Yarrowia lipolytica: one gene and its partners. The protein of the gene in region 1 interacts with the protein of each later gene in a pairwise test. Links are inferred from orthologs where the notes say so. Each region holds a gene or a part of one and is shown on either strand. Other genes may lie near its edges. The genes, in order: YALI1_E34708g, YALI1_E25826g and YALI1_B07843g.

Region 1 (10,519 bases):
CCATCTTCAAATAAATACCACTTGCACACCGGGGCTCTTGGCAAGGCTGTGTTGTCTTTCATCTTCCAACGAACCCAAAGGCACATTAGCAACTGGAGTGTGGGGAAGCATGCACCCTATACGCATGTCTATCATTACTCAACATCAGATCACACCACGCGACAATAAAAGACGACTTGACCATCAAATCTAGCAGCGAAATCAATGCACACAACCCGGGGAAGTACTTCTCTGAAGCCCATCTCCGTCAAGGAGACGGCCAAAAACATTGTGGACATTGTGGTGGACCCGGACTGTGCTAAGGATGTCTACGACCTAGGGGATCATGTCAAAGGCCACATCCTTGTGGAACCGAATTATCGGCACATTGCTTTCGATCAGCTGCGACTTTTTTTTACCGGAACACAGTGGACTATTCATCGGCGGGCTGCACAACGTCAAAAGGCCACTTATGTGTTTGTCAAGGAGGAATTACGCATGGATGAAGAATGCTTAGACACAGCTAATGGAGAAATAGTTCCTGCGTTGCCACCGACCGATCCGGGGGAGTTCCGAATAGGACAAAAATACAGATACAAGTTCGAGTTTCATATACCTGGAGAAATTTCGGAGGCTCTGGACAACGGCATAGCTCTGACTAAACGACTACCACCGAGTATAGGAAGCAACTCCATGTTCGAAGAGACTCAAGGAGAAGATATCCCGGGAAAGGTTGGTGGTATTCAATATGAGGTGAGGTTTCAGATCATGGCTGAAATCACCATGCGATTCTATCTCTATATTAAGGTCATCCCCGCATACCCAGCTGCCGTACATTCTCTCAACACAAAGTTCTTCTTGGAACCACAACCTTCGACATTTATTGCAGAGCGCAAGTTTGGAGGAGGGTTCTTGAAAAAGAAGCCAATGACGTATGTGAAGATGGGTATCAACACAACACCGAGTATCGTGGCTGGAGGAGCACCTACTCTGTACCTTGTTCATGTCTTGTCAGACAAGCCTCAGGTTCTCAAAAAGGCTTGGGCCACTGTCGAAGGTATTACTTACTGTTCTCTGTCAGGAATGCAGTTTATCCCCTCAGACTTACTGGTGAAGCGTTACTCTGATGTGCAAAGGATAGAAGAGATCATTCAAAGAAGTATGGTGGATCTGAAGATTGATTGGAATGACTCTGACTCGTCTGACTCGGATTACCCCTACTGTTCGGCTGTTCTCGAGATTCCAGTATCAGCATCAAAAACCATTATCCCTTCATTCTATTCAGCTCTCATTTCGCGTCAATATCTCGTGCGCTTTGATTTGGAGTTCGAGGTTGGAACAATGTCTTTGACTGTTCCAGTAGAGATCACCAAGCACAACAACAGAGACTACATGGCCAAGCTAGATAAAATGAAGGCTGACACGGGACGGTTTGTGGGGGATTTCGTGCCTGCATACTCTGCCCAGGACCCTCGAGGAGAAATCACACGAACAGAAAGCCTGAGAAGCGTCATCTTGTCGCCCGAAAAGGATCTTGAAAAACAGATCGTAGAACAACAACGATACAAGACATTGGTGGAAAGAAGCAGCATATCCTCAACACCAGCCTCAGCAAAGTCTAGCCATGTCAATTTATACTCCTTGAATGGTCACCCCGGGGTACAAGCTTCACCACTGTCTGCTCCTATGTGATAAACATAGTGAAGTAGCTACTAAGTACAATTAGAATACAGGACGTTTTTGGGCTATAAATAATATATAAGATACTAAGTACAATACAAGTTATACGCACAGTGAAATTACTCGCCATTCTTCATAGCAAGTGTAGCCCTTTGGGCCTGATTTGCCAGACCTTGACTCTCACTTTTAACTCCCTTGAAGAGGGTTGCCAGAATCTCATTGACATCTCCTGTAGGGGCCTGGAGGTCCTTCTGCAGCTGACGTTGTTGCACCTCTCTCCGCTTGGGATTCACCACTTTTCCATTCTCGTACCACCGGCAAATTTCATGTCGTTGAAGACCCTCCAGAATTGGATTGTAAAAGGTTCTCACGCTCTTGTACTGCTTATCGATAACCTGGTACTCAGCCTTGCCATTGGCCAGTTGATCCGGCATCTCAGTAGCAGGTAATCGTGGAGATCCGTGCTCGTCGATAGCGTTCTCTCTCTGAAGCCACAGCTTCTGCTGTGTTCGACTTCGCTGTTCTTTGCGAGGAGTGGAGTTGGGGGTTTTCTGTGGCGATTCGCTAGTGACCACGGTATTACTTCCCAGGGTGTGACCCGATGAGCCGTCAGGATTACTCAGCACGTGGTGGCTAGAGAGCTCGAGAGTAGGAGCCTTCTCGGTGGCCTGCTGACTTAACCTAAGCGAGTCATAGGACGAGTTTCTAGATGCAGGGGTCATTTTGTTGTTAGAGAGAGGTCCAAGGCTCCTAAGCAGACCCAGTCCCTCGAACGATGGGTTCCTTGAAGGATTTCGAGAAGGGTTTCTGGAATTTGCCCTCGAGGGATTACAGGAGTCACTGACATTCTTGAGCTCAGGGGAGTCGGGGAACTCTGACTCGTCGTACACCTCGCAGATATTCTCCTGGCTACTTTCGGGGTCTCTGGGGCCATCTTTCTCGACAGACTTACCAAGTCTCTTGTTGGTGATGCCAGGCGCGCTCTTGGGGCTCACGGGAGAATCAGCAGATCCAGGCTGGGCATGCTCATGGTGCTCCACATGTCCTCCATTCTCGTCGATCAGTACATGTTTCTCCTTGTGGATGTTGTTGCTGGTCCTGCGAACCTCTGGCTCTCCTGCCATCTTTTCCTGCATGGCCACCACGGCCTCCTCTCCTTCAGCCATGGTCTTCGACTCCGTGTCAGCCACCTCTCCGGGTATGTCGTTTGCGTAGACCCCATTCTGCTGGTTTGCGTCGGCCTGCTCCTGTTCATTGATCTCTGTTCCGATAGCCAAACGGGAAATGTCTCTTGTTAACCCATTGGCTGCAACTCCGTTATCCCCGTTATCCTCGTCAACCTCCTCCTCGTCCTCTTCCTCAGAGCCCTCATCGTCGCTCACAGGAAGTCCGATGACGACCTTGCCGCCCTGCCGCAAATGCACGGGTTTGTCCTGCTCCTTGGACTTCTGTTGCTCCTCGTTCTCCTTGTCGTTGGCCTCTTTTGATGAGGCAGGCTTGGGAGATGTCTCGTTGTGATTGAGCTTGTCGCTACTGGCGGAGGTATCCTGCTTATTGCTGTTGCCGGAGTTGGTTCGGGTCATGCTGAGATTTGGTCGTGCTAGCCGTTGAAGCGAGTCTGACGATCGAGCCTTGCGCTTAGTGAGACTATCGCCGCTCCCCTCCTTTTGGAGCCCCGAGAGATGGGTGGAAGAGCCGCGCATTTTGGTGAGGTTGCGGGCCGAGGCAGTTCGATGCTTGCTCGATGCCACGTGTTGTTTTTTGACTACCATGGGCCTGGTTTTTGCTGTTGCGACTTTATCGTGGGGTTGTCGAGGCTTTTCGATGCCGCGCATCATGGAGTACATGAGGCTCACGTAAGCAGAACCAGATATACTGTAGGCACTCGTTGCAACGCCTGGAAAGAAAACTGCAATTTGAGTAATCGGGCTCATCTAACTATTATGTATATATTTATATCTACATCCCATAGTTTTACCCTTGCCTTCTATTCAGTCATGTTTTTATGTCCTATATATGCCATTCCAGTCCCCACTTCAAATGGCTTCGCTCTTTATCTGCGTTGGCTCCGACTTCGTAGACTGACACCACCTACCCTAATCCACCATGTCTGACCTGCATAAGGCCACCGCTATCACACCTGCTAGATAGTATCTCTTTCCAGACGGTGAACGAGCAACCGACAGAAAATGAACGTCACGGAAACTGGTAAGGAATACATTACCACAATGGTCGGGGACAAGTCTGGCAAGCTCAAGGTGTTGCTGCTAGACGGGGAAACTACCCCTATAGTTTCCATGTGCACAACCCAATCGTCTCTACTTCAAAATGAAGTCTACCTGATAGACCGAATCGACAACCCCAATCGAGAGAAACAACGACATTTGGCGTGCATTGTGTTTATCCGGCCCAGCAACGACTCCATTGCCAAGCTGTGTGAAGAGCTGCGGAACCCTCGATATGCCTCTTACGAGCTCTACTTCTCCAACGTGGTCAAAAAGTCGCAGCTGGAACGACTGGCTGAAAGTGACGACTATGAGGTGGTCAAAAAGGTGCAGGAGAGCTTTGCTGACTTCCTGGCCGTTAACAAGGATCTCTTCAACTTTTCTCTCACCAGAAACTCGCTCTCCATCTACTCCGACGGAGGGTGGAACCCCGAATGTCTCAACAGATGCACAGAGTCATTGCAGGCTGTGCTGCTGGGTCTCAAACTGCGACCTCAGATCCGATACGACGCCAATTCCAATATGGCTCGAAAACTTGCCGAAGAACTGGCCTACGGCATCAAGCAGGAAGAGAACCTGTTCAACTTCAAAACTCCCAGGGACTCGGCGCCCGTCCTGCTTATTCTGGACAGAAAGAACGATCCCCTCACGCCTCTATTGACGCCCTGGAGTTACCAAGCCATGGTCCACGAATTCATCGGTATCGATAACAACCGAGTGGATCTCCGTAACACGCCTGAGATTCGAGACGAGCTCAAAGAAATTGTTCTTTCTCAAAATGATGATCCTTTCTTCGCTGACAACATGTACCATAACTTCGGAGACCTGGGCCAATCCATCAAGGATTATGTGTCGCACTATCAGTCTAAGACACAATCAAACATGGACATTGAAAGTATCGCCGACATGAAGCGATTTGTGGAGGAGTACCCCGAGTTCCGACGACTCTCAGGTAACGTTTCCAAACACGTTACTCTTGTGGGAGAGCTCTCTCGAATTGTCGAGAAAGGCCAGCATCTGGACGTCTCCGAATTGGAACAAACCCTTGTGTGCTCCGACTCCCACAATGACTCTCTCAAACAGATTCAGCAAATAATCGCAGCGCCCTCCATCTCCATGGAGAACAAAGTGCGCCTGGTTGCTCTTTACGGTCTGCGATACGAGCAAAAGGACAACAACTCTCTCAAGCTCCTGTGTGAGATGCTAGGACAGTATGAGGGACAAGACGCAGTGCAGGCGGCTCAGGCAGTCATTAATTTCGCATGCCTCGCCCAGAGACAAGAGGCTCTCTTTGAAGAAGGTTTCATCGCCAAGGCCAAGGGAAACATCATGGGTCTTAAGGGTATTCAGAACGTGTACACTCAACATCGGCCCTTGTTAGAGAAAACCTTGACCAATCTTGTCAAGAACAAGCTGCGTGAGGCTACACACCCCTATGTACGGGGAGCAGGCCGGGGCCCAGTTTCCAATAATGGAGTCTATGAGGATGACGTGCAGGAGGTAGTGGTTTTCATTGTCGGCGGAGTCACGTATGAGGAGGCTCGTCTTATTGCCGAAATTAATTCCCAGTCGTCTGTCCGTATTGTTCTTGGGGGCACTTCCATTGTCAACTCTGGCGAGTTTATTCAGGAGTGTTTGGACCAGAACCACAGAGGACTCTTGCGTGGCGCAGACCCCGAAACCCGACTTAGGCAGCTGATATAATTTATATTATTTTATGATTGATGATGGTGCACTTTAGGCATTGAGTGCCTGGGTCAAAATTGGTGAGGTTACATAGCAGATTGGAGATGAGTTGTACAAGCTACCTCATGCGGACATAAAAGCCGACAATAAAGGTTGTCGTAGTTGCTGCGTAGACTAACCCCCTGCACGTCAACAGTGCATTGTTTCCTTCTACACTTTCTATATTTGAACTGCCAGATATATACGAACAACATGTCAGGGGCAACATAACTGATTCCAGCCAGCGATACCAAAAACTGAATGAGAGCAATTTCAACCACCTCTCGAGCTGTCGCTTTTGGAACACTGGTGAAACATTGATACCTCTTGTGGCAAGTCCAGGGTACCATCGCTACCACCTTTGGAAAACGAACACTCTCTCTGACGATAAACCTCTGACGATAAGCATGTATATATAGGCCCCTTTGGCAATGACTCACTCTCAGACAAAACATCTACTCTCTCACTTTTGACTATGCAGCTTTCTGGAATCATTCTCACCACTCTTGTCTCTGTTGGCGCAGCATCTAAGGCCACCACCCTTGCCGTGGCTGCCACCATCCCCACAGATGAGGTTACTGCCGCCAGTGAGGAGACTCTTGATGATACTTACTACCAGTATATCAATAACCAGGTTATCTACCAGCCCGAGGACAACCGAAAGACTGACAACCGACACCAGGACAACCGACGGGGTGGCCAGTACTCTGACAACCGATCTGACAATCGAGATCAGGACAACCGGTACCAGAACAACCGAAACCCCTCTGACAACCGTCAGACTGACAATAAGTTCCAGGACCACCATCGGGATAACAGATTCCAGGACAACCGAGACAACCGTCATCAGGACAATCGCCACCAGGACAACGATGACAACCGTTTCCAGGATAACCACAAGGACAACAAGTTCCAGGATAACCGAGACAACAGACATCAGGATAACCGAGATGCTGATAACCGAGACAACCGTTTCCGGTACAACCATCAGGACAACCGACAGGACAACCGACAGAACAACCGACAGGACAACCGACAGGACAACCGACAGGACAACCGACAGGATAGCTCCCGAAAGCTCCCGCAGTCCCAGTATAACCATAACACTGGCCCCTTCATGGTGACTGTTTCCAAGCCTGGTGACAAGCTGCACAACCAGCAGCTCAAGGTTGTGTCCACCCAGATCCAGGTCGGAAACAAGAAGTACGGCGAGCACTTCACCATCAATCTCAACAGTCCGTCAAATATGATGGCGAATGTGGGCGGTGACACGCGACCTTCCCACATCAAGGTTGCCCCCAACGGTCAGCTACTTGTTGTTGCCGGTGCTCCTACTGGACAAGACACTTGGTCTTACTCTGGGAATACCAACAAGCAAATCGCCCTGTGGTACAATTCGAACTCTGGCTTCTTTGCCTGCCCCAACGCCAACGACCCCAGCAGCGGTGGACGAGTTGTTTACGTTGATATGGGCCAGAAACCCGTTTGTGGTCGAACTGCCGAGTATTTCAACCTTGTTGGTGGCTCAATGAAGTACATGGACTAACTTGATCTATATCAGATGGCTTATCACACGACACGTTATCACACCCATAGGTGCACCCCATGTTTTATCAATGTAGCTAACCATATAACTCTCAATTCTTTTACCTGATGTGCTTTTAACAGTGCCTCTAGTGTAAACTTGTTCAAGTACGAGTACGAGTAGCTACTATATAGGACAACCATATATACTGTAGGTCATTCTCGTGTCCCATTTCTAAACTATTTCACGTCACTACAAGTACTAATCCTAAACCGCCAGTGAAACCTCACGGAGGATATCACATGAACATTTTTTACTTTCTATGGAATGTATGACAGAAATAGGGCGGGCTGTGTCTGGACTAAACTGGACTCGAGCGTGCCACTTTGAATTTCTCAATTAACTCTAGGTTCTCGCAGTAACAAACAGAGGAACCTAAGACTCACCAAGCTTGACCTTTTGAGTCTTTTTGATGCCCCTTCGTACGGCATCCTTGATAGAGGCGGAGTCCATGGGCTTCAGTAGCTCAAAAGAACAAAGGAGCTGCTTGGACACGCACATGACAGCTCCCCAGTTGTCGAACTCTCCACAATAGTTGGGAGCGGAGAACACGGTGACAAGCTTTCGCTTGTTGAAGAACTCGTATCCGTCCTGCACAACCATGTGAGCTCGGCACACTAAATCAAATTTGAACTTTGTGCAGAATTTGTTGACAACAGATCGTCCAAAGCAATACGACACACCGCGGTCGTTCTCGCTCCACTCCATGATAGACCTCTCAGGGTCAGACCACAAGAGATCAGACAAGAGACCAACATCAGGGACGTTGGTGGGTCGAGTGATCTTTCGGATGTCGTCCATGGAGTTGAGGTAAGGAGACAGACCACCATGAACACAAAATATCTTGCCGCCGATAGTAGCCGCAATAGGAAGCGTGTTGAACGTATCGACAAACGACTTCCAAATCTTGGTCGTAGCTCGACGCTTGCATTCGTCGTAGAAACCATAAACCTTGGTGATGGAGGCACACTCATGGTTACCTCGCAGCATGAAGAAGTTCTCGGGGTATTTGACCTTGAAGCAGAAGAGCAGAAGGATGGTCTCCAGAGACTGTCGTCCTCGATCAACGTAGTCACCAAGGAATAGGTAGTTGGTCTTTGGAGGGAAACCAGACATTTGAAAGATTCGAATAAGGTCTCCAAACTGACCATGGATATCTCCGACAACCTTGACGGGTGTACCGAGCTCCAGCAGAACAGGCTGGCTCATGAACACGGTTCGAGCCGCAGCACAGAGCTGGACAATCTCGTTTGGTCGCAGGGGCACGGGGGCAGCTCCTCCAGATTTTCCTCCAGCATCGAGAAGTCGCTTGATGAAATCGTTGACATCAAAGGGCAAAGGCTGTTTCTTGGTAGCCTTCTTGCTGGAGGCTGTGGACGCAACCGAAGCTCCCGACACAGCAGGCTCAATTTTAGGGTTCTTGATGTTTCGTGCGGGGGATCCGGTGACACTATCAACAGACACACTCAATGACGACTGGTAGCCAGCAGGAAGGTCGACACGCTGGGGGGTTGAAGCAGAGGGCTTGGAGGACAGAGCCACGGCGTTAGCTCGAGAGGAGCCAATGTGGGTGGTGGGAATGGGAGACTTGAGGCCGGAGAGATCGGAAAGATCCTCTTCGGAAGAGGAGGAAGACTGAGAAGACTGGGGGCTCATTTTGGACTTGTCAGCGTTCTCGGGGGATGCGTTCGAGGTGGCCGAGGAAGACGCAATAGAAATGGCGGAAAGAGATCCCTCGGAGGTTACATTCGAGGTGAGTGATCCGTTGTTGTCGTGGTGAGAAACAGCAATGACAGGAGTGGCGACAGGGCCCGACGAGCCTGGAGGGGGGAGGGTGGTGGCGGGAGTTCTTTTGGCAGAAAGGAACTTCGAGTGCGCTAAGGAGTCATTATTACCTGGTATCGAAATGGGTTCGGTATGTGCTCCGGGGGCTGTGCCAGGTTCAGAGTTTGAGTTTTGAATGGGAGCAACTGGTGCGGTGAGTGACGAAGTCGAGCCCTCAGAATTGGTGGAGGCAAGTGAGGCGTTATCCGTGTCCGACGATGACTGCGAGTCATGAGGTCGGGAAATGACCACCTCGCCCATGGCTGCTACGAGCCCTGCTTCCTCTGCCTTGTCTCTGCGAGACTTACGCTCGGAACCTGTGGGGTCATGTCGCATATCAGTCTTGGCGGACTTCGAAGCCCCTGACGATACTCTTCGCTTGGGTTTGCTCATGAAGTCGGCTGCAGAAGCGTTGTCGATGGAAAAGTCGTGATCAAAGGACATGGAGGTTCGCTCCTTGCGAGAGCCTCCAGTCGAGGACTTGGACGAGCGGCTTCGTCCAGTCGGGGGTCGAGTTGAGGATGATGAGCTCTTTTGGTGGTGAGGTGTCTTGTTGTGGGCGCTCGTGCCACTACACCCACTACTACTGGGGTCGTCGCCTCCCTCGTCGGATATGACGCCTAGACCGGCCCCAGAGGCCTGGCCGTTAGTAGTTGTCAGAGAGGAGGTCGAGTTTGCATTTTTGGAAGGGGACTGGCCCATCGTATCGTATCAGGAAAGAGATACGGTGCTGGTGATGACGAAATGTTGAGGTTGGTGCTTTACTCTGTCCAAGACTTGAGTGTTGCTGAGTCGTCTAAAAAGAGAAAAATTCTTTCGAAAGGACTCGAGAAGGGGGGTTTGGCTAGTTGCTGGTTGGGAGGCGTTGTTAAAACGTCTGCTCTCTTAATACAGTTTTTTCTAGCTACAATGATAGGTTGGTCTCGGGGATTCAATGTCCTGGAGGCGATAGTGGTGTCGAGGAGTAAGAGAACAAGATGGAGATGAGTCCGTGTCCTTTTTACGCCACGCTGGAAGCTTAATGTAGCGCAGCACTGAAACTCTATTTTAGCTACCAACGTATTGAACTTTAGATTGGTCAAACAGAGAAAGCACAAGTTACTCATAAATGGCCCTAATTAATCATGAAGAAAGACCTGGATGTATTTTTGTTTGCGGGGAGACAGACAAGTAAACAGTCCGACTAGCTGGTCTGGTCTCGCAAACACTTGCAAGTTTAAATTTCTCACCATTTTTAGATCCGTTAGCCCCTGTCTAATACACTTCATTAAGAAAACACAAGATGTGACGTCTTTCATTAGGAATTATCATTGGTCTGTAGAAAAAACCATAACCATTCGCATATCTCTTTTTCGTTTTGACAATATAGAAAACGACGGTAACGCGCACAACTGGCAACCCTCGCCACCAGATAACGCACTGTTATTCAGCTGCGAGTAAGCTCGTCGTCTCTCCACGGGCAATGTCGCAGATTGCCGTGTCCCAGCGTCTTGGCATTTCT
Region 2 (10,790 bases), about 890 kb from region 1:
CATTCGTACAAAGGGATACTCCAAGGACGTGAAGATCCAGTCAGGCATCCACTCGGTGCCCAGCATGAATCATGTCCATGTCCATGTTATGACGACAGATCTGTCTTCTCCCCGGCTCAAGAACCGCACACACTTCAACTCGTTCAGGACTGGCTTTTTTGTGCCATTCAGAACGATCCCGGATCTGAAAGTCCCAAGTCTTGACGCCTGGATGGTCTCACAGGAGAAACTCATCAAGGGGGACATTGTGGTGGATGGAGAGAACTTTGGGAACAAGTTTGCAAAGGCCAAGAGAAGACTGGATGAGGATTTCCACAAAGCCACGATTCACGGTATTCCAGAGGAGGTGGAGGATGATGATTATAGGGTGATGGAGATGATCTCTTAAGAGACAAGTGGCCATAGATAACGAAGGACATTCATATGGAAATTGATGACATTATAACGAAAGCATGCTCATGATACAAGTAGCAACCAGGTCGTTTTCTCTCAGTACGATCTCGATGGAGTGTAATAGTTGACAACGTAGCTGAACATGGCAACATCGTGATAAACTCATTATCAGTATACATCATATGCCACAGCTGAAACATAATAGTGCTTTGGCACTACAGGCAAACTACACTCTCACTTGCGATTAAATGCTTAACTAGTCTACTACAACTTCTCGTACTCGAGCTTACCCTCCAGCTTCTTGTTCTCGGACACCTTTCTGCAGGCCTTGAGCAGATCGTTCTGAACAATGTAGTCCCGATCGTCTCGGATGGCAAAGAAGCCAGCCTCGGTGACCACGTTTCGGATATCTGCTCCGTTGAAACCGTCGCTCATCTTGACCAGGGCCTCGTAATCGATTTCGCCCTGCTTCTGAACGCCAGCAGCGTGGATCTTAAACACCTCCAGACGGCCGGCCTCGTTGGGCAGTGGGATCTCGATCTTTCGGTCCAGACGGCCTGCTCGCAGCAGGGCGGGGTCCAGAGTATCGGGCCGGTTGGTGGCCATGATGACCTTGGTCTTTCCGAGATAGTCGAAACCATCCATCTGGTTCAGCAGCTCCATGAGCGTTCGCTGGATTTCTCGGTCGGAGGAGGTTCCCTCGGAAAATCGACGTCCTCCAATGGCGTCCACCTCGTCCATGAAGATGATACAGGGCTCGTGTTCCTTGGCGTATCCGAACATTTCTCGAATCAGACGGGCAGACTCTCCAATGTACTTGTCGACGATAGCTGAGGCGGGCGAGAAGATGAAGTTTGCGCCAATAGTGGCGGCCACGGCCTTGGCCAGCAGGGTCTTTCCTGTTCCGGGAGGGCCGTACAGAAGCACACCCTTGGGAGGCTTGATTCCGACTCGCAAAAACAGCTCGGGGTTCTTCAGAGGCAGCTCAATGACCTCTCTGAGTTCACGGATCTGCTCGTTGAGGCCACCGATACCGGAGAAGGTCAGCTCTCCAGGCTCAAACGTGGTCATGTTGTAGACAAGAGGATCGACCTCTCGGGGAAGAATTCGCATGATAGTCAGAGTGGTCATATCCAGAGACACACGCACACCCTGCAGCAGCTTCTCCTTCTTGATGCTGGACCGACAGCCCACAATGTATCGGGGGCCGTTGGAGGCTTTGACGATGAACCGCTCCTCATCCAGCTGCTTAAGAACCTCGCCAATCAGCTGGCCTACCGACTGTAGCGCCTTGATGTCGTCCTCGGTCTTGTCGAATTTGCGCTCGAGGTCTCTGATGCCCAGTCGCAAGTCCTTGAGCTTGACCTCGTACTCTCGATGCTCCTTGAGTTTTCTCTTGAACGACTCGATCGCCTTTTCCCGCTCGGGATCTGTGGGTGTGGCAGCCACCTCGGGCGCCTCCTGGTTGAGAGCTGCGAGCAGCGGGTCGTTTTCCATGTTGTGTGTGTTGTGGTGTGTTGTACTGATGTAGTAACTGGAGCGTTGAGGTTCTAATATGTGAAGTGGTGATGCACCTCCCAATATTAGTGTTTGGTAGAAGAGTGGCGTATGGTGGCGAGGTGAGTGAAGGTGAGAGTACAGTAATGACAAATATAGACAGAATATCGGGGAATAAATGATCATCAATCGCTTTTATATTCCTCACTTATTGCTCTCAATATCCCCATTACTCCACAACTACTCTAAAACCTCGTATTCTGACACCTTCCACAGGATTACGTGAGGTAACAGAGTCTGGATGGGTATGGGTGGACCCATTCGCTCTTGGTGGTTATGCAACCACAGATCTAGTAGAGGTACCCGTAGTTGATGTGCTGTAATATAGACACAATGACAAATCCATAAATAAAGTGAGAAACCCCATTGAGGAGAAAGAGGTGTACATCTAATTATTGATTACATAAGCGTATAAGTAACTTAACCAAATTGTCACATTACTTCACCCAACAGTTGAACTATCTTTCATTTTACTTCAGAATGACTTTGAATATAGGTCTATCCAACTCTACCAATATAGATCCCACATATAATCTGAAAAGTGCATTCTTCTTGTAATTTCTCAGACAATCTGCTTCCATCATTATCTTATCGATAGGATATCTCCACATCTTGTTACAGACACCGCCATCCCCGTCAAATAAACTCCGATGCAAGCTCCATGTGCAGTGAAATTTATTAGCATTGAAAAGAAGCACATAAAAGATCACATAAAGCACACACCACCACCACTCTGTGCTAAATCTCCTCTGCTACAATGGGAGCCGACTTCAAAGTGTTCATTCTGTGCGGCCAGGGCAAAAACATGGCACCTCTCTCGTCCGTGAGAGCGTCTGGAGTGCCCAAGGCCCTTCTTCCCATGGCCAACGTGCCTGTGATCGACTACACCCTCAAATGGTGTGAGACCATCCCCAACCCCAAGGTGTTTGTGTGCTGTTCTACAGCTGACGAGGCGGAGATTTCCGCCTACGTGGACTCTTTCAAGGCTGAGCACTCCACCTCAGTTGTGGCTTCCAACGTGACTATCTGTTCCAAGACCGATGCGAAGTCTGGAGACTTCATTCTGGAGCTGACTCGAGGGGAACCCTCTGATTTCATTGTGGTTTGCTGCGATTTTATCACAGACATTCCCGCCAGCTCGCTGGTCGACACCTACCGAAGCCGAGACTCGGACTCGCTTCTCACAGCCTTCTACTACCCCAATACCCTGGAGAACGTGGACAAGAAGTCATTGCTCAAGGACGTGACGGTGCACTCATCGCTGGACTCGCGAACCCCGCGGCTGCTGGACTCGTATTCGCGTGACTACATTGAGAACAAGAAGACCATGCCCATCCGCCGATCCATGCTGTGGCACTTCCCTAAGTCTTTGGTCTCCACACAGCTGCTCAATGCGTCCGTCTACTTCTGCACTGCCGACGTGTGTAGAGTCATCACCGAGACTCAGGCTGCCCCTGAGGAGGATTCCACAGACGAAGATCCCGACACCCGATCTTCGTCGCCTGTCAGACAAGAACAGGAGGAGGCACACACCATTCTGGCCAAAGGCCGACAGTGGGACCGAGTGGTTCGAGACATTGCCCGACGGTCGTGGGCACATGCGAAGCCGCTCAAGTCTGTGTCTCTGTGCGTTCTGGACTCCAATACCTTTGCACGAGCAAACAACCTGTCTGCATACATGGAAATGAACCGAGTGATTCTGAAGGCAAGAGCCAAGGCCAACGCCACTGCCCAGAAGCCCGCTCCAGCTGTTAAGGGAGCTGCCACTGTTGGTGTCGACTCTCTGGTCGGCGAAGAGACCCAGCTGGGCGAGCGAACCAGTATAAAGCGATCTGTGGTTGGAAACAACTGCACCATCGGCAAACGATGTCGAATCAACGGCTGTGTCATCTTTGACGGCGCTTTCATTGCCGATGACGTTACTCTGGAGAACTGTCTGGTCGGAACTAAGACCACAGTCGGTACCAAGGCCAAACTCACAGGCTGCAATGTTGAAGGAGGATACAAGGTGGAGGCTGGCAAGGTGGCCAAGAACGAAACCATGCTACAGCTGTCCTTGGAGGGTTTGATGGAGTCCGACGAATACACTGACGACCATGACGAAGATGACGATGATGACGATGACAGCGAAATGGGCGACTCGGACGATTGGTCCGTCAGCGGAGGAGACGACTACGATGATGATGATGGGCTCTTCGATCGGTCTTAGAAGGACAAGTATAGCTAATGTATGTTGGATAGAGTATGGAGTAATTACAGACTTGATCTAGAATCACAGAACATTTTCACGTTCTGAAATGTTCCGCACTCGTATGTGATGTTCAAGTATAGTTGTATCTTGTACAATTATCTACAGTCACCGAATCCGCCACAAGTAATATACATAATTGTCATCATTCATTATTCATTACTGTTCTGATACATACAGTATCATGCCATAGGGTCGCTAGCACTTTCTATGAGTACAAATATTCCTTCGTGGTGCTGCTCTAAACTGAGATTAAACAAATGCTTCATCTCCTAGCCTCTTCCTCAGAATTTCAATCTCTTTATCGAGATCCTTCACAGACATCTCTAAAGGCCCCAGTTCGTCGTACTTTCGCCTCTGCTTGGCCTCCAGCATCATGTTCTCCACCATAAACCTCTGTTCCTCCATGACCACCAGCTGTTGCTGAAGTGCCTTGTAGTTGGCAGGAGGACGGGGTTTAGCTGGCTCGGGGGCTGTAGCTTCACTACCCAGCACCTTGGGAAGCGTTTTCAAGGGCAGCATCTTCTCTTGTAGAAATGACACCGCAGCTGTGTATATCTGTTGCTGTATTCGCTCTTCTGTAGGAGACAGTCCCTCCAGTGCTCCTACTCTTCTAGCAGCCGAATCTAGCTGCGAAAAGGTATCGAGAAGACGCTTACGCAGCTTGGACGCTGCCAAAATGTCCTTGGGATGCATACCGGCCATCTTTTTGGACGCAATCGTCTCCTCAAGCTCCTTTTGGAACCGAGGCATCATGTTTTCGATGGAAGTGGTCAGATGGGTCATGGTGTTGTACAGCTTAAGCAGCTCGCTGGGATCGGAGTTGACATCCCGCTGAAAGTTACGTCTACCAAAGACTGTATTCTTGCAAGTCATGCAGATCCGTATGGGTTCGCAATCTGTTGGAATGGTGTCGCTGAACTCCTCTTTCATATCGAGACTGTTGATTAAAATGTTCACACCAACAGGAAGAGAACATTGTGTGGATGTCTGTCCACACACCACCTTTCCGCACACCCTGCAATGATGAGGGCGGATCAGAAAGGTGAATTTGACCTGGCATTCCGGACAATTGGGCTGTGTTGAGTCTTCCTGCCATGGTACTGAGGCTGTGACAGCCGCCTTGGGTTTCCACCAGGGTCCCGAGCTCTCGTTCTCTATGCTTTCCTCCGCAAGTCGTCTCAGTCTGTTTTCCAGCTTATTGACGGACAGCTCCTGGATGTCGATTTTCGCCTGGCGTTTTTTCTTGAACTCTTGCGTCAGATCTCTTTCAGTACCTGTCGTGTCATTGTACCCTTCTCTGCCCGTGTAGCAAGTCTTGCACACCCAACACCAGATACCGCCCTTTGGTTGGTGGTGAGCATCTCGGCTCAACTTCATTCTGTAGCGACTGTGGCCGTGGCAGAAGATGTTTCCACAATGTCGGCAGTGCCTTGAGCCGTTCCTGGCTCCCAGCTTGCGTTTGCAGTCCGGATAGTGGCATGTTTGGCCCGGTCCGGGGTGCTTCCAGTGCCGTCTGGTCACCATTTCGTCGGTGGGTCGCGGTTTCGTGTGTGGTTTCTCGCTGGACGCCCGTGTCTTGCCCTTTACCTTGCCATCACCGTGTACGTCGTCAATGTGCCGATTCAGTTGCATCAGCGTCAACATTGTCTCCTCGCAAATCGGACATGTCAGCGAAGTGGCTGAGTGTGATTCGGGGCCTGGGGACGCCGTGGAGACGACCGGCGGGGTCGGCGGGGGTGGCGGAGTGGGAGCGGCGCTTGTTTGCACCACCTTGGGCTCCTTCACCGGCTCCACCTTGGTTCCGATCACTCGTTTTTTGCGCATGCTGAAATAGAGTGTACTTGTGGGTGGTGCGTGATAAGCTGAGTAATATGGCGGGGTTGCATGTGAGGGTCGGCAGGTTAGGGAGTTGTTGAAAAGGTAGGGCAGGTTTTGAGGTTTAGTGATTACGTGGAGTGCGGATATGTGTTTTGATTTTGTATATCTAGTCTACTGGTGGAGTTGTGACCGATGCTGTGGTGTAGACGGCTAACAAACTTGGGTAAGCATTGCACCTAATTTAGTTGAAAGAAAGTCAAGGATAGCGTTTATTTACTGTAGCAACAAGGTGAAACTGGAGTTGCGGAAAGATAGGGCTTCCGAAGAAAAGAAAGAAGGGATTTGATATGGAGAAGTCTTTAATCACCTTTCATTTGACAGATCTACACCTGCACAGTGGTACAAGTATACTGTACGGATACCCCAACGATGACTCTCTACATCCCCCCCCCATCTCAGTCGATTCCAGTAGTACACTCGTATGTACTGCACACCAAAACAGTAAATATTGTTGCCTCTAACTCTGACAGTACTACAAGTACCGTACGGTACTTAACACTGGTACTGTATACAGTAAATGTACTCAACCTCGTCCAGTAGCACTTGTATGTCGTTAGTTGGTGGGTCGTTATCCCCTCAAGATCGAATTCAAACGCTCTGGGGTGATTTAAACCCGATTTAAACCGTCTCGGCCTGATCTGAAACATGCGATGGGATGCAGTTCGGGCATAAGTGGTTGTGTGTGACCACTCTGAAGACCACTCTGAAACCATTTCTGGTTTCTAGAGTCGTAAACAACAGAGACAGAGATACGATTCTGTATAGTACGGCTCTCAAAACACGTCTATAAGCCACTAGTTGGCTAGTTTCCGCTGACGTGTGACAGGACAGATAGAACAAGAACGAGTACATACGAATATACGGCTGTTTTTGGTTCTTGCACCATCTTTCTGATTATTACAGGATATGCAATAAAAAGTGATGGTACAACCCGGCTCGGTAACCACAGCCTCATACTGTAGAGCCTCATATCTGTTATACACAGTCTTTCATACAAGCTCTCTTTTATGAATCACCCTTGTCAGTCAGCTATGGGTGTAGGGCGCATGAGGAGTAGTAGCTCAGATGGGTGACAGTTAATGCACAAGTTGTAGAGCAGAAAAACCCCTGGCAACGACGTAAATACCACCTGAAAGAAATAAAACGAGTTTTCCATGTCGAATATTCACCCGGGAACCACCCTCTTATATACACACTCTCCCCACACCCTTCAGAACAACCACACCACTGTGACCCCCACATGCATGAAAGCACGCATCTTTTGCTAAATTCAAAGCTGTACACAAGCCATACTAACGACCATCTAACGACCCGTCAACAGCACAATGATCACGGTCACGCCCGGGGAGTTGGCAACCATCGACGACGCTCTCACCGACCTGCTGCTGGAGCGCGTATTCTACTGGGCCGAGGTCCGCAAGGCCTCCGTGCACTACAAGCCGTTACGCGGCATTTCAGATCGTCATATCCACGACCTGGTGCGCTCCATTGCCGCCTGCGAGACCGGAGCTGCGGCTAATCTGGCGGTGAAGAAGGCCACCAACGCGTTTCTGGAGCTCAAGGAGGTCAGAGGATACCGAGGACGGCTTAGTCCACTGGCTTACGAAGAGTTCCAAAGACACACAGTTCGATACCTGACCATCTACAAGGCGTCGTGCGGGTTTGAAATCAACGTGTCCATGCGTTACAAGTGCCGCTCCAACCGAGGAGAGTCCTGTGTCATCTCCAGAGTCAGATACAACCGGGGAGACGAGATTGTCGGTCTGTCTGGTTGTCTGGCCAAGATGACCAAGGACGAAGAGCTGGCCCTTGCCAACGACTTTTCTGTGCTCCACTCCTCACGAAGAGGCGGAAACTGTCTCATGCTAGGCCCTGCTCGATTTGTCAACCACGACTGTAGTGCCAACGCTCGGTTTGTTCCTGTTCCTTCAGGCATGGTGATCCAGGCTGTCAAGCCCATCAATGTGGGCGACGAAATCACTGTCAAATACGCAGAAAATTATTTCGGACGCAGAAACAAGGAGTGTCTGTGCCAGACATGCGAGGAGAACTCCAGAGGCCTGTATGGAAGCCCACAGGAGTCTAGTGAGGAGGAGAGCGACGACGACATGGATGAGCTAACAAAAATTGAACTGCAACGGAGAAAGAAACGGCAAGAGCAGAGAGAGGGAGGGACCCCCGAACTCAGAGAGGGAGGTCGAGGCTCGTCAGAATCATCTAGAGAAACTTCGGAAGAAGCTATTGAGATCTCCACCAGCAAGAACTGGCCATTGATCCCTAAAATCGAGTCTCACACAGCAGATAGTACCCCTCTCCCTGTACCTGTTGGAGAAGTGTCTGAAGCCACTGTCACTGAGGTGTCCACTGTTGTTCCTGCTCAAGAGGCTATTCCTGTTAATGAATCAACAACAGCTTTGTCGCAGTCGTCAAATGAGTTTCAGGACCCAACGATCGACCCCATTTTGAATGGGGCCAGTGCTGAAATCAGGTTCCCGTCTCTACCCAGCCCAGATACCACCACATCACCCGAATCACAAGTTCCGCCGTTCATTCAACCAAAAAGTGCCCGACGAAACCACCACTATCTTGGCATGCACAACACGGACGAACGAGTGCGGTTCAACGACCGACTGTCGGTTCTAGACGAGAGAGGCGGAAGTGAGGATATGGAGAGCTGCCTGGTGAGCGGCAGTGAGTCGCGAGACGATAGCACTGCTATGTCGCGAGATGAGGAGTCTTCTCGTGACGACGGTGACGGTTCTCGTTCCAAACGGTCCAAACGACATGTACGGGCTCAGCGCAAGAACTCAGGATCATGGTCTTTCAGCCAGGAAGATCTCAGCTTTGACAGACTGTGCAAGGCTGCTCGGGAACAGGCCTATGATCCTTCCAGGTATGCTCTGACGGGGGTGTATGGCTTCTCCGTTTCTGGGGCAACGCAGACGTGCGTGTCTTGTTGTTCAGTCTACAATCTCACTGACGGGCCCAAGACACTTGGCCACTTTTGTCCTCGGTGCCACAGACATGCTGCTATCCACAGCTTTGCCTGGCCGTATACTAACCATAAGCATGCCCTTCCCCTGTGTCTGCTAATGATGCGGCCTCCAAAGAAGCTTGAGGACGAGGACTGGGGTCTCTCCAAGCCACAGGTGGCTCAGCAGTTTGGTGCCAAAAATCGTAAGATTTTCGAGGAGGACGGTTTGTTGGTGCAGAAGAAGCGCAAGTCGCTGGCCTGGTCGTGGGAGTACACCAAAGAGGAGCCTGCCCAGGAAATCACCAGTATGCGCATTGAGGACATGAGTCCGAAGGAGCTGAAGAAGTGGAGTCAGGCCGGTCGACAGACACGGTCTGGACGGGTTTCTATGCTGCCGGAGAAACCCAAGCGGTCGAGAAAGTCGGCTCCTGAGCCTGTTGAGATGCGGGACAATGTGGCTCAGCTTTCACGAGAGGAACGAGCTTGGAAGAGAGCTCGAAGGGGAACCGTGGGACATGAGAAAGTGGAAGTAAATACTCCGACAGTAGAAACTCCGTCAACAGGCACCCCGAAGGTGAAGAAGCTACATTGGAAGCAAAAGCTGGCAATGGAGAGGAGACAGAAGGAGGCGGAGGAGGCTGAGGTGGCTGAAACCAGAGTTGCGGACGGTGTTGATGCATCTACTCCTAGTCCTGCTGGGTCCACGCCGACTCCTAGAGGAAGAGGTAGACCCCGAAAGTCTTCTCGGGAAGAAGAAATCCCTCCCGAGAAGACACCTGAGGCGAAGAGACCGAGTCCAGCAGCAACTAAGACTCCATCGATGTCTCCAAAAGTGAAGAAGGAGCCTCTCAGTATGTCGTTTTCAATGTCTCCAACGAGCCGGTCAGGACGGGTTCGAAACCCCACGGAAAAAGCATTGCAGTTGATGGAACAGGGAGAGTATGTGATTTGAAGAGGAGAAAAGGGGAATTACTAATGGTCGGATGGGTTGGATATGTATTTGTACTGTAAATTTATTATGAGTTATGGCTATTTGGCATACAAGTACAAGTATGGTGATCTTGTTTAGGTGGTGTAAAACTTGTGCGTCTGAAAGTTTAAAAAATAAATACTAGTACATACTTGTACTTACTACTTGTAGTAGAGAGACTCAACAAAACTCAGTAACATTGATTGTAGTTTTGAGTGTCTCTTATGAGAAGTACAAGGAGTACTCAAAAATGAATTTCTGTCATACTGTATACTCAAATATTTGCACATGTACAAGTACAAGTACGTTTCTCACACACTCTCTCTTTATACAAGCTTATTATATACGTTAGCGTTCCTCTATCTATCAATGCTCAAACTTGAGACTCGGCCAGAAGAGCCTCTCCATCTTCTCGAGTGGACCGGTTGTTGGTCTGCTGCTGGTTGGGAGACACATCGGGGAAGTCCCACAGTTTGTAGTAGTCCACCGCATGGCCTCCAATGGCTCCTCCACCCTTACCAGCTTCAAACACTGCCAGGAGGTCAAACTTGCCATTAGGGAACCAGAAGTCGAAGCAGTTAGTTCCGGCGCCCGAGTCGGTGGGGTTCTTCTCCTTCCACGACCGATTGTCCCGATGCTTGATGGCTTCACCTGCAGTAGCCACAAACTGATCGACTCCAAGCAGTTTGAGCACCGAGGAAAAGCAGGGCGACTTTGCAGCGTGTCCATGGGCGTTCATAACGGACTTGGCTGATGCTGTGGCGGCA
Region 3 (9,618 bases), on another chromosome or scaffold:
GCCTCCAGCCGCTCGTACCGCCTCGATGATGGTGATGTGGTGTTTCTTTGGGTCGAACTTGGGGTGGTTCAGCAGATAGTATGCCGTGCACACACCGATGATGCCGGCGCCCACAATGACAATTTCTTCTTTTTCAGACATTGCCGGACAAGAGTGAAGTGGCTGTGGGTATGTGTGTTTCCTGGTGTGGAGTGGTGTGTGTGTGGGTGAGTGTGAATGTGGTGTGTGTGTGTGTGTGTGAGGGTGAGTGAGTGTGTAGTATGTGGATGTGTGTTTTTCTACAAAGTGACTTTTGTCTTTTTCCCTGTCGATTGTGTATAATTGGTCCAGCGTCGTGGCGCACTGGGTCGAAAGACGTGCTGTTGGGTGTGAGGAAGAAGGCACGCAAGCTGTCGCCCTAGCTAATATATCGCGATGACGTCGTATGACCTGGTGGGGTTGGGGTGCTGCGTTTGACCGTTCAATGCTATTTATCACAGTATAATGTGTCGTTATGTCGGCTCCTGTGCATAGGGTCGCGCAGAATTTTTAGGCCTGTGCGAAATAAGATGTTCTCTAGTAGTCAAAGGGCTGGGAGTAAAGAAAGAGAGAGAGACCACGTTGAGGAGGCTACGAGGATATATATGGGGGGGGGGAGTCAGTGCGGGTGGAGGCTTCGACGTTGATCTTGTGTCCAGAGCTTCGGATCTCCAGGTTTGTTTCGGGGTTTTGTGTCTATTTTTTTATTTTATTTTTGGTTTTGCAGTCCGTGGATGCGCCCCCGAAGAGACCTGTATGGTAATATATCGCAGTACATGAAAATGCTTACAAACGGCCAATTAAATTTCCAGCCAGGCATAAAACGTGCACTGGGAGGTGGAAATGGGGTGACTATTGTTTAAATATGAGGGTAAGGAAATACCTTGAAATGCCCAAAAGGTCCTTTTGGGATGTTTAGCTTGGAGGGGAAGGTGGGCGGAGGAGGGTACGATAGGCAACCTCAGGGAATAAGTTTGGCGAGATCCACACTCGCCACACCATGTATCATAGCAGAGACCGGCTTGCAAATAGCCACCCCGCTCGTCAGGCTCCGTCAGGCTCCTACCGTATGCATCGTACACTTGTGGCTTCCGATAGCTTAAGAAGACCGTGTACCAGGACGGAAATGGCAACCATCGAGGCATGCGAGGCATGCGATTGTGTGTATTCCGGCCTAGCGCGCTGCACAACAGGCTCTTATCTCGTGGTCTCGTCAATCGCGGAGTTGCCATTTAGGTGGCACGGCTATTCTTTCCGCTGCCGCCGGGGTTGTCAATCTCCGTTGATGTGATTTTGAGCGGACCCCTGCGATACCGGCGCTCCTGTGCAAATCGCCTGAGACCAACACATTAATTAGTCAGATTATCGTGTGAGGCGAGTGAGACATCACCACACAAGCGCGTTATGTGACACCACAATGGCCTGCTTGTTTCTCATCGTCATCTGTCAGGGGTGCCTGAGTCACTTAACTTATCTCCATATCCCTACCGGCGGCGGTATCAGGGTCCTTGTACAGTGCATACGTCAGCTATGATTGTCCCCTGTTGGTACAATCCAGTAGCTAGTCTCTCCCTCCAAAACCGTCTGCGGTTCCTCTTGTTGTTTCGCTAAGCTACCTTTTAGCCCCTCTATTGTAATGCTGCGGATCCACCCGACGAAATTACGTCCCCCAACTTGCACTGGTCGCATAAGGTTGCGCAATCCCCCCCCAAACCGTTGCGGCCGCAGCCAGGTACCGCCTCCTGCTCGTGCTGGTACAATGTCACCCATATTAGCTGTATGCCCTTGTTAAGGGGATACGGTCGCCGAAACTTGCTTTCTTTTTCATGTGGTGTGTGTGTCGCATTAGGTTGACTGAAGCAATCGGAAGACTATTTTTTGGCACCAATGGGGGCTTGTCAAGTGCCGACTGGGGGGAGGGAGGGGGGGGCAACGACTGACTCAGGGACACAAGCACATTGTGTGCTCGATTTACGTCCACCGGGTCTCAAAAACAAGTACCAGCTTAGCCCCTACAGGGCTTGACCCGGTTTGTGTTTTTTGTTTCTTTTTCCCGGTTTTTCGAGCCGCTCAAAGACGCATGCGGAACTCACATACCAGGAACTGCTTAGAAATACATACCCAGCTGCAGCGGTTCTATAGTAACTTACCCGGTTTGCAATCCGCTTACTGTACTGTACGAGTAGGAGTGATCCTCCGATGTATCCCACCACCAAGACACGGTCCGATCGACTTGGGACGGAGCTCGGCGCATCCATGCTCCGTGATGCAAGAGAGACGAGTCAAATGCCCAGAATAATTCGGAAAATCGAAAAAATATTGAGAATTTGAAAGAAAATTGAAAATTGAAAAAAAATTGAAAAAAATTGAAAAAAATTGAAAAAACAGGAAAAGGCAGCAACAACAAACAATTATTATCACAGTCAATCAATCTCCTGTATGTCTATATGAGTAAGGGGGAACCTCAATATTATGGCTAAATGTGGTTTATACCCACACAACGTGCAGAAGCACATAGAGGGGAGGAATAAATAGGAGAAATGGAGACGGAAACACGGACAGTGGTTCCGAAAGGGAATTGAAGTGGAAATATAATAGCTCGTCGTAGCCGTTTCTCCTCACGACACTGACTCTGCGAGTTGTGCCCCAAGCTCCAATGCGAGTGTTCTTTCATAAACCCTCCCCCCAGAGTGGATATCTTCGGGAGGAGAAGAACCACTAAACTGATGTGCGTGGTACCCTTACTTAGTTCAATCGTAAATCGTTATCTGTTAAGCTATTGACGTTACAACGCCCTTACAGAGCAATGAGCAGAACAAGCAGAATGATTAGGGCCACAATCAACAGAGTGATGCAGCATGAACCCAGAGTCTCTTGGTTCTTTCGCACCACCCAATCCACTTTCTTAAGACCACGCTGTAACCGAGAGCCAGCCGAGTCGGCGTGACGATCTAGGTCATCAATGAGATACGACTGGTCCTCCAGCTCCCGCGACATGACGTTGGCCTGTTCCCGCAACGAGTTCACCGTGTTGTAGACGCCATCAAGAGCGTTGTCCTGCTCCTCGATCTGGCTTGCATACATCTGCTGGGTGAGCCCTGCAGTTCGGGCCTCCGTGTCGTCTGGCTCATCGGAGTAGATGCCATGTGGCGTGCCTGTGTTCCGAATCTTGCTCACCTCCTTCTGTACCTGACCCAGCTGCGACATGAGTTGAGCAACCTGCTTGCTACGGTCCTGGATATCTTCGCTGCTGAGACCAAACTGCTGTGGTCGGCCCTGGGCGGCCTCGACGGACTGTGAAAGGTCGGATATCGTCTCTGCCAGCTCCTCTGTGATGTTTGTGAGATCCTGAAGGGTATTGTGGTTTGAAGGGTCCGACCGGAACTGCTCCAGCAGGTCTCGCGTCTGCGTCAGCTGGTTTTGCGCATCCGCGCAGACTTGTACAAAAGGATCCATTGTGTTTGTGCGAGAAAAGTTGTTGTGGAGTATGATACTGGTGCTACCTCATGCCACGGCTGCAATAATGGGAATATCCGCAGCCAACCTTAATTTGTTGGGGGAGACTGAGACCTTCACATGTAGAGATTATGTACAAGTACGAGTACGAGTACAAGTATGGGCTAATGGTAGAGACAGAGATGATCTGGTGTACTTACTCAATGCACCTTCACCTCCTTATAGATCAAATTGAAGCTGCAACACCATTTTAGTCCATTATATAATCACGTTCCACGTCACTCGCTCCGTCTCCGAAAAGTAATTGGGGAGTCCAGCGCTTAGATGCCGCCCGAAAACGCGTGTGTAAGATGTACTTAGCAATGGGAAATATCAACATCTCAAAAGTCTTAAATTAGTTAGGACAGTTCCTTTCGTTGCTGGGCAGCAAAGTCACGGAGACACTGGTAGACAAGAGTATGGTCTTCAACCTGAGGGAGACCACTGACAGTGACAACAGCGACGGGGCCCTCGATTCCGTTGACGCGAATGGGGAATCCTCCTCCGTGAGCAGCATACTCAGTGTCACTGACTCCGTAGGCCTCCTGCAGAGTTCGGCCCTTCTGTCTCATGTTGCATCCCAGAAAGAAACTGCTTCGACCGAATCGAATAACAGCGTTTCGCTTTCGGGACACCCAGTGCTGGTTATCAATGTTGGTTCCCAGTCCGGAAGCGGCCCGGAACCAGGTGAGACCGGTGACGGTGGTAATATCGATCAGAATGCACTTGCCTGCCTTCTTGGCGCGTTCTCGGATCTGGGAGCCCAGCTCGAACGCGTAGTCGGCGTTGAAGCCCATGAGAATGCATTCGCCTTCCTGCTCGTCAATTTTTTCCAGCGGAAGATCAAAGGGGAGTGGTGTGGCCATTTAGGGGAGTGAAGTGAAGGGGAGTGGAGAAGGTGCTTTCGGATTAATTAGTTCGAGCCGAATAACGTGTGGGGGATAGAGTTTGGGATTAAGGTTCGTTATTAAGACAGTGCGCTGACATCGCCAGAATCAAAAAGACGACTCCACAATCCCTTCCCGCATCGAATACAGACAAGAAAATGGCTGATACACCCATGACTGACGCCTTTCCTGCAGCTGCGGCTCCGGAGACTGCTGTGGCCAAGACAGAGCCTGGTCCCGAGCCTGCCATCCCTGCTGCTTCCGTGTCTGAAATATCATCTACACACACTCCCTCAGCGGTGGCTACCCCACCAACTTCCACATCCACACCCGCGGCGGAGCCAATCAAGCAGGAGACGGCTTCCACTGCCTCGCTCCCAAACCCTGCCGAAAACTACGGCGCTCCTACGCGACTGTGGCTCAATAAGGAGGTGAGTCCCGCCCTGCTGGCTGGCATGCGACAGATTGCCAAGGACAAGCCTGAGGACCCCGTCCGGGCTCTGGGGGAGTTCCTCATCAACTACAAGAAGTGATTGCATTGCATAGGAGGGTATCGAGACAGTGCACCATCGCGTGTAAGGTGCATTGGCCATGGATTGGTAGAATGAAGGGCGCGAATGGTAACTACGAGGCTTGTTTCTGCCATCATGTAAATTATAATGATATTGGTATTTGTTTTGTTTGAAGAGTATAGATTGGCAAATGTCAGTGATCTGAGAAAGACACATTAGTAAGAGTACTACTTGTAGTGCTTGTACGATTTGTACTTGTAAGCTGGTTATGCTGGTTATATGGGATGATGATACGACAAACCGCTAATGTCATCACGTGACTTCAAACTGACCTGATGTATTTGTACTTGTATTATACAAATATCCTCCAATAGAGGTATATTTAACGTATTATTCCCTCGTTCTTCCTTGAAAGTCTCCATTTTTTATTTTTATTTTATTTTTATTTTTATTTTTATATACCTCGCGGCCTTGATCATCATATCTGCTTATATAAGCAAACAGCGAGTTGTAAGAAAAAAAGTATTAAAAGAAGACCCAGACCCCAAAATCCGGGCCACAAACCAGCCCCGCCATCACCAACCCACTTGCTACAAGTGCTGGTACTCGAGCTGTCCCAGCAACCTCCAGCACAGGGATTCTGGCCCAACTCTGTTGTCCCATTTAAACTAAAATTGTGCATATGGCAAGCTGAGATTAATCGTACTATTCTATCGCTATCATCACCACCACCATGGCGACCGACAACACATTACGGCCCTATTACAACGCCGATACGTTTGGAACAGGCACGCTGTACACCAAGCGACAGTTCCCCAACTTCTCCGACGCACCTGGCGGAGCCACTACCTCTGGGTCCTACACACATTTTGAAGGTGGCAACAGCAGCCGACTGACCCGCAATGTGGGCAACCACAACTTCGGCGATCTGTTTGATGGCATTGAGATTGACTACGACATTACCGGAACGTCCGAGTCGGTTCGAAATGCCATGCATTCGCTGTTCCAGCTCTACGGCAAGACCTTTCTGAGTCAGCCCTGGGAGGTCAGCAAGCTACTGCTGCAGGTAGGAGACTGGAGTCATTTGCAACGAGTGGAGAGCGCGGCCGAGGTCGAGGACCACATTATTGAAGTGGCTCTTGAGGAGGAAGAGGAGCGAGAGGAGGACGAAGAGATTGACTATTTCGAAAGCAACCATAGAGAAACGCTGGGAGACTTGAGTCCTCGAACCCACAGCCGAAATCATAGTCACGGAGGCGACTCCCCTATTGTACTGGATTCAGACCCTCTACCTGACCAGAAGAAGCGACTCAAGAAGTTCCTCAAGAACTACCATAGCCAGCTACAGGCCCGAACTACACGCAACTGGGACATTCTGCTGGCTCTCAACGAGGTTGACGGAGTTCGGGGACCATGGAGAGCTCTCAACGCCTCCTTCCTGCTTGGAGCTCTTACAATGACTCTGGAGGCATGGTTTTCTGGATTCTTCAGCTCCATTTCTAACTCTCCGGACCCTCTGTTTCTGGAAGAGGTCGCTCACTCCCCTACTCCCATCACCTCTATCGTTGTAGCCGTCAGCGCTTCAGTGATCACCTCTCTCCTTGTGGCTCCTCTCGATCTCATCCGAACACGTCTGATTGTGTCTACACTCTCCACCAAGCCCCGTTCCGTGCGACAGTCGCTCGTGGAGCTCAAGTCGCTTCTGTGCCCTCCCGAGCTGCTGGTGCCCACTTTCCTCGGCTCTTTCTGTACATCTATTGTGCGACACACTCTACCTCTTTGGAAAATCACCAAGCTGGGCATTGACTCGTACCACTTCCCCGTGCTTGACAGACTGTTCAACCTGGCCAGCGCGTACGTGACCATGATCGTCAAGCTGCCATTGGAGACTATGTTGCGACGAGCACAAGTGAACCACCTGGATCTGCCCTCTGGTGCCATGATTGTCAAGCCCGTTGTCCAGACCTCCACTGTGGCTGTCTGGTGGCACCTGCTGTCTGGCCAGATGCCCCTGGAGGATCTTTACAGAGGATGGAGAGTGTCTGCTCTCGGAGTGCTGGGAGAGTGGGGTGTTGCAAGCTTCAGAAGTGTGAACAAGGCTGGACGGGAAAAGTTTTAGTCCAGATGATACAGCAGCGGCTTTGCATTTTATGTACATATATATATTTCAATCGAGTACTAATTTTGGATCAGATATGATATGATACTAGTATTGATCTACTGTACGTCATTTACATAGAATTTCTAGGCATTATGCGCATCATGGAACATGCTAACACTTCGACCCTTACCTCCAACACTACCCATGCCCCGCTTCATGACCATGATAGGGTTCTCCTTATCTTCATCGTCAAGATCAGGCTTCAACAAAGTGGCAGACTCACGAATGACGTTGCCTGCAAGAGACAGATTTCGTTTCGACGATGTGGGCTGGCCCTGGGAGTTGAGCTGTCCACTGTTGAGAATGGACATGGTGGCAGAGCCCAAAATGGACTTGCTTCGGTCCACCAGAGAGTCCAGAGTCTTGTCGTTGAGACTCTTGACACGGTTTTCCAGAGACTTGAGAGACTCCAGTCTGATCCGAAGACACTCATTGGCACCGTCGTTGGCATTGGTGAGCTCACTCTTGCGGGCCTGGAGTTCAGACACTGTCTCAGTAAGTTCTATGTGCTCCTTCTTGGCCTCAGTCAACTTGGACGTGATGTCAATGAGCTCCTCCTTGACAACAGTGAGCTTCTCAGTAACTTCCTTCAGCTCCTTCTTAGAAGCAGCGAGGTCAGACTCGAGCTTCAACCCAGAAACTGTAGACTCCCACGACTCCTTGATGTTTACGCTGGCATCGGAAACAGTCTGCTCTAGAACAGACGTGGCCTCGGCCAACTTCTTCTCCAGGTCACCAACAGTACTTTCGGATGCATGCAGCTGGTCCCCCAAGCTGGTGGCGACAGCGGTGAGGGAACTGAAACCATCTCTAAGAGCTTGCGTCTCCTCAGCGTGAGTCTTTTTGATCTCAGAAACCTCGGCAGTGTGCTCCTCCTTCAAAGACTTGAAGGCAGCGAGAGCCTCAGTGTGCTCTTGCTTAACACCAGCAAGATGTTTTTCAAAGCCCTCCTTAGACGCAACAAGACTTTTGGCGTGCTCCTCCTTCAGGGACAAAACCATACCCTCGTGTTTGGTTTTCAGTAAGGCCATAGCAGTAACATGCTTCTCCTCCAGTGAAGACACCTTGCCGTCATAATCCTTTGTTACTGAGGCAACGGTCTGCTTGTGCTCCTCCTTAAGATCAGAAACAGCCTTCTTGTGTTGCTCATGGGCTGTAGAAAGAGCTTTCTTGTTTTCCTCTTGTGCGGCAGAGGTGGTCTGCTTGTGATCATCAGCAAGGGAGGCAAGAGTCTGCGTATGTTCAGCCATGACAGAAGCCATTTCCTTGCCGTGCTTCTCCTTGATCGCCACCAGCTCCTTGGCATGCTCCTCCTTAGCAGCACCCATCTCCTTGGCATGTTTCTCCTCGGCAGCTGCAGTCCCCTTTGCATACTCTTCCTTAAGAACAGCATTCTCTCTGGCTTGGGCTTCTTTCAGTTGTGTGAGCTCTTCCGCATGCTCTGCCTTCATTAAAGACATCTCCTTCTTGTGTTCTTCCTTCAGAGATTCGATCGTAGCCAGGTGAATAGTGGCCTCTTTTTGTGCACTCTCAAGCTCCTTCTCATGTCGGTCTTTCACTTCAGTGAGAACGTCAGAATGACACTGTTTGACCTCCGCAATCCGCTCAAGGTATTCGGCTTCAATCTTCTTCATGTTATCATCTCGGAAGTTTGTGATACCAGTGATGGCAGTCTTATGCTCCTCTCGCCACTGTGCCAGCTGGTCCTTGTAGTTTGTTTCAGCACCCTCAAGGCGGATCTTGAACTCTTCCACAGCGGTGGCATGGGCATCCTTCAGAGCACAAAGCTCCTTCAGATGACTCTCTTTGAGCGATTCGGCAAAATTGGAGTGAGTCTCCTTCAGAGACGCCATTTCCTTGGCATGTACCTCCTTGAGAGCTTGCATTTCCTTGACGTGGTCAGCCTTAATAACACTCACAGCTTGCTCAATATCCACCTTATTCTGATCCTCTCCACCACGAGCCAGCTCAATGGTAGACATGTTCTTCTTGAGGCTCTCTATGGTGTCACTGTTGGATCTGATCAAGTCCTTGTGTCGTGCCTCAAGGGTATCCAGACGATCAGAATGCTCCTTTTTGAGTGACGAAACCATACTGACATGTTCAGACTTGAGTGAGGACAACATATCAGCATGCTCAGCTTTAAGAGTGTCAACATGTCCACTGTGGTCCTTCTTCAACGAAGCGACAAGTTCTAGGTACTCTCTCTTGATAGCTTCCTTCTGCGAGGAAAGCGCAGTTTCGTGATCAGCCTTCATGTCGTCCACAATCACCTTGTGCTCTCCCTTCAATTCCTCCTTGAGATCTCTGAGAGCAGTCTGATGCTCCTGTTTCAGAATGTCAACCGCAGTCTTGTGGTCCTCCCTCAACGCCTCGAAGGCGAACTTGTGGTCCTGCTTCACAGACTCGATCGTGCTCTTGTTATCCTCCAGCTCTCTGCCTTGTCGCTTGGCAGCCTCCAACTGCTCATTGAGCTTCTCCACATCCAGCGAAAGCCCCTTGATCTGATCCTTGTAGTTGCCGTGGGTATCTCGAATCGACTGGT

Evidence for each region.
Region 2: the proteins of YALI1_E34708g (region 1) and YALI1_E25826g interact in binary tests that used the Saccharomyces cerevisiae proteins (3 or more experiments, as listed by UniProt). The link is inferred for Yarrowia lipolytica from reciprocal best matches to the Saccharomyces cerevisiae genes VPS45 and PEP7.
Region 3: the proteins of YALI1_E34708g (region 1) and YALI1_B07843g interact in binary tests that used the Saccharomyces cerevisiae proteins (3 or more experiments, as listed by UniProt). The link is inferred for Yarrowia lipolytica from reciprocal best matches to the Saccharomyces cerevisiae genes VPS45 and TLG1.

What each region holds. Positions count from the first base shown.
Region 1 is NC_090774.1:3,464,192-3,474,710, reverse strand, and holds YALI1_E34708g (uncharacterized protein), read left to right. Parts: upstream 1-3,848; coding exon 3,849-5,588; downstream 5,589-10,519. Other genes in the region: YALI1_E34745g (uncharacterized protein), read left to right, coding at 205-1,671; YALI1_E34711g (uncharacterized protein), read right to left, coding at 1,779-3,593; YALI1_E34686g (uncharacterized protein), read left to right, coding at 6,085-7,155; YALI1_E34650g (uncharacterized protein), read right to left, coding at 7,570-9,720. UniProt on the Saccharomyces cerevisiae protein: Essential for vacuolar protein sorting. Function in membrane traffic between the Golgi and the vacuole.
Region 2 is NC_090774.1:2,577,872-2,588,661, reverse strand, and holds YALI1_E25826g (uncharacterized protein), read right to left. Parts: upstream 6,026-10,790; coding exon 4,451-6,025; downstream 1-4,450. Other genes in the region: YALI1_E25889g (uncharacterized protein), read left to right, coding at 1-388; YALI1_E25866g (uncharacterized protein), read right to left, coding at 658-2,076; YALI1_E25859g (uncharacterized protein), read left to right, coding at 2,708-4,159; YALI1_E25812g (uncharacterized protein), read left to right, coding at 7,405-10,005; YALI1_E25761g (uncharacterized protein), read right to left, coding at 10,397-10,790. UniProt on the Saccharomyces cerevisiae protein: Required for vacuole segregation and vacuole protein sorting. Possibly part of a complex which tethers the vacuole membrane to microtubules, either directly or via kinesin or dynein-like motor proteins.
Region 3 is NC_090771.1:780,830-790,447, forward strand, and holds YALI1_B07843g (uncharacterized protein), read right to left. Parts: upstream 3,475-9,618; coding exon 2,815-3,474; downstream 1-2,814. Other genes in the region: YALI1_B07809g (uncharacterized protein), read right to left, coding at 1-141; YALI1_B07852g (uncharacterized protein), read right to left, coding at 3,873-4,379; YALI1_B07853g (uncharacterized protein), read left to right, coding at 4,559-4,933; YALI1_B07864g (uncharacterized protein), read left to right, coding at 5,646-7,031; YALI1_B07915g (uncharacterized protein), read right to left, coding at 7,157-9,618.